Linked DNA regions of Arabidopsis thaliana. The protein of the gene in region 2 interacts with the protein of the main gene of each other region in a biochemical or structural test. Each region holds a gene or a part of one and is shown on either strand. Other genes may lie near its edges.

Region 1 (4,158 bases), on a different chromosome or scaffold from region 2:
ATGGTTTGAATATTTCGTACCCGTGGTTCCATTCGGCTTGGATAAAGGGTCCGAGTCTGAGAGTGACATAGAGACCTTTCTCGTGGATTAGTTTGATGAATTTCACCAAGTCAAATCTCCCCTTGAAATCATACTGAACCATTTTAAGGCAAATGATCAAATCACCCAAAAAGAAAAAAGAAGGAATGATCTTAAGAGAGAATTGAAGTCGATGATACCTTGCCTTGTTCAGGCTCATGGACATTCCAGAAAACATAAGTTTGGATGGTGTTAAGTCCCCCAATTCTAGCTTTGTCAATGATACTGGGCCACATCTGCAACAAAACCAGAATCCGATCCATGAAGTGAAATCATCTTTTTGATTGGGTAATAATAAAAACAGAGTAGACGTGCTTACGTGAGGTGTGCTTCGAGGGTAATGAACAGAACCAGAGAAAAGAAGCTCTCTTTTTCCATTTATGATCAATGAAGTTCCGCTCAGAACCGTCGTATGTTACTCCTTTCTTCTTTTTCTCATCATCATGGCTGCTTGCCTTGGAACAGAGCGAAATTACAAGTAGAATCGCTATCAAGTATCGTGTTCTCGACTTCATCCTAATTCTACTTGATTTGCTCATCGATAAACACTTTGATACATAAATGTTACAACTTGTATTATATTGTTCCCTTGTTTTAAGGATGTCCTAGGTTAAAGAGGGAAGCTCGGAACCCTTGTTTCAACTACTCTCTCTATTTTAATTTAATGGTTTTCTTAACTACAACTTGATCCGCATTTGAAGCTTTCTTCACAATTACAAACCATAAATGAAAATAATTTAATTTTGGGTAGAAATATTTATTAACATTAAAAGTCTTTGGAAGAAAGGGAAAAACACATATTGCAATCATAAAGTGTAAGGAATACAGACCAAGGAACTAAAACCAAAACAAGAAACCTACCGTTATGGTATTAATGTACAAAACAAGACATTAAATTAAGCCATAACAAATTGAAACAGTAGTAGTCCATATGACATCACATGACCACACAAGCCGCCGGGTTCTCGTCGCTAAATGCAGTGGTGTAGCGGACCTCGGTGGAGCTAGCACGAGCCAGCTGCGACACTCCGGGGTCGTCGACTCTTCGGACATAACCGGAGGGTGCCTTCTTGTCGTAGACACCGGCAGCGTAAGGATGAGCGACCACGTCGTAGGGCACATATGGCCAGAGCTCGACTTTCTTGCCGGTCCTGTGAGACATTCGAGCCACCACCTTGTTGGGATCGACGTAGCCGACTACAGTGACTTTATGGGCTTTGGGCTCCAACGTCACAGAAGACACACCCTTCATGCCTTCGACAGAACGCCGCACTTTCCGCTCGCAACCTTCGCAGTCCATTTTCACTTTAATCTCCACCGTCTATCCTCATCAAGCAGTCGACACAAAACGACAAAATTAGCCTACTTTAAAAATATCTAAGAAGAATAGTAAATGTCCACAATTGAAAGACTTTAACCATATCATCATGACTAGTGAGAAAAATTAACGTGGTTGGTTTCCCCGGAAATTAATGATTTTATATAGTATTCCTGACAGCGAGAAGAATACAAATCCCGGTGTAAAATCTAACAGATGGCTGTATCAACTTATATTTCAGATTAAAAGAATCTATTCGGTCGGCGTTAGGAAGGAACATTAACTCAAAACAAAAACTGCTTCAAATAAAATCCCACTTATATCATGTAACAATTTGGATATACTTCTTCAGATAAAAAAACACAGAGATATTAAAAAAGATCTGAAGTAAGAAAGGTAACACAAATTAGCCAGCCAAAACCACAATAATAAACTTGCTAATGGCAGTCTATTTATGGAACTATAATATACGAGATCTACTAAGTAACACTCAAACTTTCCTAGTAACCATCGAAGCTAGTTTCTACTAGACTCATTCATCATAACTTTTCAACGAATTATTATGTTTGTTTTTTTGCAAACCAAGATCTAAGTTATCAGCTGAATCTGCTAAGATAAGAAAAGGAAGAGGGAAAGTACCTGCAACTGTTTGCGCTTTTTAATCTTGTGACCATGAGAGCAGTCAAACATTTCAGAGACATGATCAAGAACACCCATTTCTTCTTCTTTTTATTCCAGAAAAGGAAAAACCTGAAGAACCCAGGAGAGTTAAGAACTTTCTTTAGGAGGAGGAGGAGGAGAGAGTAGTAGAGCAGAGAGTGAAATCTGTAAAAAAGAGGGGCAAAAGGGAAAGTGGAGGTGTAAAGAAGTAAATGATGAATTGGGAGAATATATATAGGCATTATTGTAATAAGTAATACAGTATGTATCTAATTAAGTGAATGATGGATGGGTCACCTTTCTTTTCTGGTCCCAGCAGTTTCCTAGTCGCCGTCTCGATTCTTCTCTTCTTGCTAACGGTTTCCTAATTTCTAGTTTTTTTTTTTCGGTTTCTTTTTTGGATTGGCTTAAAACATTTCTTCATTCCAATTCCATGAATGAAAAAAAAAAGAGTTGTAATTTGTAAGAAAAAAATAAAATTACAATGGATAATAAAATTTTCTGTTTTGATGATGACTGAGACTGATCTTGGGACAAGAGTCGTGCGTTAGATTTTCTGCTGCTTTACTTTTTTTTTTGTTTAATAAATAATAATAAAAAAAATATATTCTTGGTGCATGGGAAGAAAGTAAAGAGAGGAGTTATTGTTTTTGGATAATCGATGATGACTCGCAAAGTCACACCGACGTACCGACCTTGATGACCAGATTTGTTTATTTTATGAAGCCCACTCCAAAATTTGGTCTAGGCTTTCTAATGGATTTTTCTGAGGCCCACTTACTTACCATTTTATATTTTTGGCGATTTTTTGACAAAAATCAACCGAGTTTTAATTCCATTTAGATTTGCAAGACTTGCAAGTAGAACCATCTGGATATCTGGACCCCCATGGGATTCAAGTTCATATATCCGAAAATCCCATCATCAATTATAGTCTTAAGCGATGAAGATACAAAGGTTTGTGGAAATTAGTAATGAGTGAGTAATGACTAATGACACAATCCGAATTCAGCAGTAAATAAAGTGTGCGTGGAAGAAGAAGAAAATTAACGATATATGCGTGTATGTATTGTTTGCAAATAAAATATGCAAATTTTCAGTGTTGAAGCGGCGAAACCGAGAAAAGTTTTACAAATAATTTAACAAATGTTAGTACTGTATTTCACAAATTGAATTTGAGAATATTAAACGAAAAAACGTTTTTGCTTGAGAGAGAGGCGAATCTGATTCTTGTGAGAGCTTCCAACAAAGTCTGCAGGCTCATCCTGCGGATCCCTTCGTTCCCAATTTCTCTTAGGCAGGTGAGAAATATTTAATTTCCCCATACTTACTTTGAGATTTGATATTTCCAGTTGCGTCTGAAAATCGATTGACCTACTTTGTTTGTGTGTGTGTGTTCACGTATTTACCGGATTTGGGGTTCCTCTGTCCGTACGCATTTTCCCACAAAGTTTGTTCCTTTTTTCTTTCTAATCTCGTGTAGGTATCCCTTCATTGGCGAGATCCTTGTTTTCTTCGTTGGGGAACAGATTGCCCAAACTGAAGTCTCTCTCTCTCTGTTATGGCTAAACAGAGACCGGCGACGTTGTCAGTCTACCTCTACATTCCCAATATCGTTGGTCGGTTTTTTGCTACTTCCTTTCTTCTGTCTTTAAAAATTTCATTTTTTTTAAACCATATGAGATTAGTGTTGTTACATGCAAAATTGGCAGGGTACATGAGAGTTCTCTTGAACTGCATTGCCTTCTCTGTGTGCTTCTCCAACAAGACACTCTTCTCCCTCTTGTACTTTTTCAGGTGACTTTATCCTTGTGGTACCAACATCATGTTCTTCTCCTTTTTTGATCTTGTGTGTTTGGTGCTTCTTCTTTCATATGTTAGTCACTCTTTACCCAATCTTGTTTCCAGTTTTTGTTGTGATGCTGTGGATGGATGGTGCGCTCGTAAATTTAACCAAGGTGCTCTTTTCATTCTCCCCATCTCTTTTCTTAGCTTCAACTAACTCATTACTTATGCTTCCTCTATGATCCTGACATTGATTAAATATGACATTTCATGTCATTGTCTCATTGATCAATATTTTTAGTCCCATACACAGTTTA
Region 2 (3,941 bases):
TTTCTGTTTATTTTTCTAGTAGTGAATTTTAGCATTTGTTATTTATCTAATTAAGTCTTACTTTGTGTCATTTACCTACTTATTCAATAGGTATATACATAGATAGAAACGTTACGCAAAAATGACCCCATGATCATATGACATTTAAAATTTCGGCTACAAATGACTTTTTCTCCAACCTTAGTGGCCGGTTTGCGGGATGCGCGTGCTATTTCGGTCATTGACAAGATCGTTAGGAGATTGTTCTAATCCGTCTTTATGATTCTAATTGTGATACGAGTAAATAAATTGTTAAATCAAAGTCTCTGTCAACGAATTATTAGTAAAACAATAAATACGTTTATTTAATTATTTTTATTGTATGGTCAAATATCTCCCGATTGTTGTAAATTGGATTCTAATTAAGCGTGATTGGTGACTAGGTTTATGATAAACGACAAAACGTAACACCAACTGTTATTCATTTATTCTCCTCGCAAACAATGCTTTAATTAGTCTCATTTCAGGGATCAGACTCTTAACTATACATTAATGAATAATTTATATGCCTTTCAATAAGATTTTAAGTTAATTAAACGAGTATCCAAAGCTTAACGAAATGAATGTTGATGTCTGATTTGTTTTGTTACTTTAATTCTAAAGAGTAAAGACCTTAGTAATTATAATTAATAACAAAATTAGCCATGCAGTTTGATCTTACCAATAACATTCACATGTAGTAACATTGTAACTTATAAGAAAAGGTTCATCATTTTTTTCATGAATGGATCATCATAAAAGTAACAATAACTAGTCACAAAATGTTCCTTCAATTTTTATTTTTTTGATAGAAACTATATTTGTTGTAAAAACAAACCCTATAAGAATCGATATGGAAAATGGCTAATGAAGATTCAAAATAATTGTGGGGTACTTAGAAGAGGAAGACTTGAAGACATACACCACATAATTGTGACCCAAAAGCTAATCAATAACGTAAGCAAAATGCGAAAGAACACTAAATTTCGGCGCCACACTAATGACAAGAAGTGAGAATAAAAGGTCGGTAAGAGATAAGAGTCTTTCCAAAGGGTGGTTAAGGAATTTAGACATTTAAATTTCATGATTAATTACGAAACATGAAGTTTGGCAATTGTCACAACAAACTCTTCTTTGCTCCACGATTGAGTCAAGTATTAAGTATTCGTGCGAAAGAAGTTCTTTTAGAGGTGTTTTCGGTAATCTACAAAATCTTCTAGTTGTTTAGCACTTTTCCTTTTGGAACGAATTAGTACATTAGCATAAGTCAAATATTTCACTAGAACACGTAATACCTATACTAGTAAGAAATTTTATTGACTTTATTGTTTAGTTAGATTATCGTTATAGGAAAATTTACGATTTTAGACCTCTAGATAAGAAAATGGTCCCTAAACAGAATCAAAATTGAAAAGATTAAAACGTTTTAGTATAAAAATGCAGGGGTGATACAGTGAAATTAACAGAAGTATGGGGTGGTAACGTAAACTCTTAAAAATAAGAAACTGTAATATGTACAGTGGAATATGAAACTGCAGGGCAGCTGTAATTGTCCTTTAGTACGATGCATGTAATGGGCTATTGCCACGTATACACTTTGGACTCAAATCTTCCAACTAATCCCATCCTCTCCTTCGAATATATTCGATTAATTAAAATTTTATGTCACGCTCAGAAATTATTCATCTTTTTTATTTCTTTTACACAACAAGTTACCCACTGGTGAAAGTGAAAACCCATATCTTACAAATGTCCCGTAAAATCATTGCTTTCTGATAAGACCTCAGATTCAATATTTTATACAGGTTCAAAGTGTATAGTCTGTCTATATAACGTATGAATAGATATCAAAACTAGTGACTAAAATATTCAAAAAAATCTCTGTTTCACCAAAACAAGAAAAAAAAAAAGTAAAAAAGAAGTTGTGAATTTTCATTGATATACAGTGAGTGTTTTCTTTCTTTTGCTGTATGTTTTGGACGTTTGTGAGTAAGCACTTATTATTATTTTCCAAGTCCTAATTATATTTCATCACTGCCATGTTCTTTACCGATATAATTACATCATCGTCACATGCACTTACATAATTATCCTTTTTTAATAAATAAAATAAAACTACAAAACCTAATCTTCTCATTAATCACAAAAGCAAAAGATTTAAGTAAACACACTATAAAGACAGAACTAAACAAAAGCTATGGATTTGTCTTCCAAACCACAACAACAACTTCTAAACTCTCTTCCCATCGCCGGAGAACTAACTGTCACCGGAGAAATGGGTGTTTGTTACAAAGAGTGTTTGAAAAACCACGCGGCTAATCTCGGCGGCCATGCTCTCGACGGTTGCGGCGAGTTTATGCCGAGTCCCACGGCTACTTCCACCGATCCTTCTTCTCTCCGTTGCGCTGCTTGTGGCTGCCACCGTAACTTCCACCGCCGTGACCCTTCCGAGAATCTCAACTTCCTCACCGCGCCTCCGATTTCTTCTCCCTCCGGCACTGAGTCGCCGCCGTCTCGTCACGTGTCTTCTCCTGTTCCTTGCTCTTACTACACCTCAGCTCCTCCACATCACGTGATTCTCTCTCTCAGCTCCGGTTTCCCTGGACCGTCAGATCAAGATCCAACGGTGGTTAGGTCAGAGAACAGTTCAAGAGGAGCAATGAGGAAACGAACAAGAACCAAATTCACGCCGGAGCAGAAGATCAAGATGAGAGCCTTCGCAGAGAAAGCTGGTTGGAAAATCAACGGATGTGATGAAAAGTCGGTGAGAGAGTTTTGTAACGAAGTTGGGATTGAGAGAGGAGTTCTTAAAGTGTGGATGCATAACAACAAGTACTCACTTCTCAATGGCAAGATCAGAGAGATCGAACATGGCCTGTGTCTGAACACTCACAGCAATGATGGTGATGGGTCTTCATCTTCTTGAAGAAAGATTCAAGATTCGGGTTAAACCGAATTAGGATACTTTAATTTGGGAAAATATGAGCATTAACCGGTTTAAAATCATATAATAGTGTCTTTTCTCTAACATGTAATCGATCTTGATATAAATATTTATGCGGTTTGATCTTTTCTATTTTCATCACTTTGACAGAGATGTGGTCAGAGATCACAAATGGGTTTGGTAATAAATAAGTTTTTAAATCGGAGGTTGAAACGAATTTTGATAGACCATTTCTAATTATAGTAAGTGCATAAGCGCTAATTGTGATCGTAGAGATCAAAAGATTCGTTTCTTTGTTTACTTTCTGATTATTCAATGTTATCTTCTGTATTATTAGAAATAAATCTCCTGAACTTTAGAGATAGAGTAAGTAAAGTTTGCTTAATGAAGATACGACGACGTGGTTATTACGAATTGCAACAAACTATGGCGTGGCGGAATATAATTAGGTCACTGGGCGGCACATTTTTGTTGTTAATTTATATGATATGATTAAAAGTTATTAAAATGCTGGCTTATCTCTTTCCATTTAGGGATAAGCTTTGGCAACACCAATCTTGCTTATTTATCCTAATTAAGTACAATGCAGATGTTACGATTACTAAAATATCTACTATGTGCAATGATTTGGCTCTTCCCGCACCACTGATATTAAAAATTCGTTTTTTTTCTTTCATTCATCATGTATTAACGAATCATAGCGAATGCTTTATCACGTATAAATGGTCGTAAGTTCAATGCCGGAGACAAAGTATTTTACCATGTATGTACGAAGTAACGAAGCCCAAGCCTTAACAAAAGGCCGGTACGAATATCCATGCCAGATAGATCAATGTATGCAAAAGCTCTATGTAGATACGAGTAACTGCATGCAATGATTAATGATCAATATATGGTACACAAATTGTTTAACATGCATTTGGCGGATAAAATAATTTACATTATAGATCGGTATATGTGTTTATGGTTGGATGATTGA

What was found.
Region 1: the proteins of ZFHD1 (region 2) and FP6 form a complex in vitro, tested with the Arabidopsis thaliana proteins (one study listed by BioGRID).

The regions. Positions count from the first base shown.
Region 1 is NC_003075.7:18,032,551-18,036,708, reverse strand, and holds FP6 (farnesylated protein 6), read right to left. Parts: upstream 2,579-4,158; 5' UTR 2,354-2,578; intron 2,347-2,353; exon of another isoform or gene 2,222-2,346; 5' UTR 2,114-2,221; coding exon 2,036-2,113; intron 1,400-2,035; coding exon 1,016-1,399; 3' UTR 820-1,015; downstream 1-819. Other genes in the region: BGAL14 (beta-galactosidase 14), read right to left, coding at 21-133, 219-314, 390-593; PIS2 (Putative CDP-diacylglycerol-inositol 3-phosphatidyltransferase 2), read left to right, coding at 3,618-3,675, 3,769-3,853, 3,965-4,014. UniProt on the Arabidopsis thaliana protein: Heavy-metal-binding protein. Binds lead, cadmium and copper. May be involved in heavy-metal transport. May be involved in cadmium transport and play a role in cadmium detoxification.
Region 2 is NC_003070.9:26,180,255-26,184,195, forward strand, and holds ZFHD1 (zinc finger homeodomain 1), read left to right. Parts: upstream 1-1,901; 5' UTR 1,902-2,215; coding exon 2,216-2,944; 3' UTR 2,945-3,292; downstream 3,293-3,941. UniProt on the Arabidopsis thaliana protein: Transcription factor involved in the up-regulation of several stress-inducible genes. Acts as a transcriptional activator by interacting with MED25 and NAC proteins. Involved in increased drought tolerance.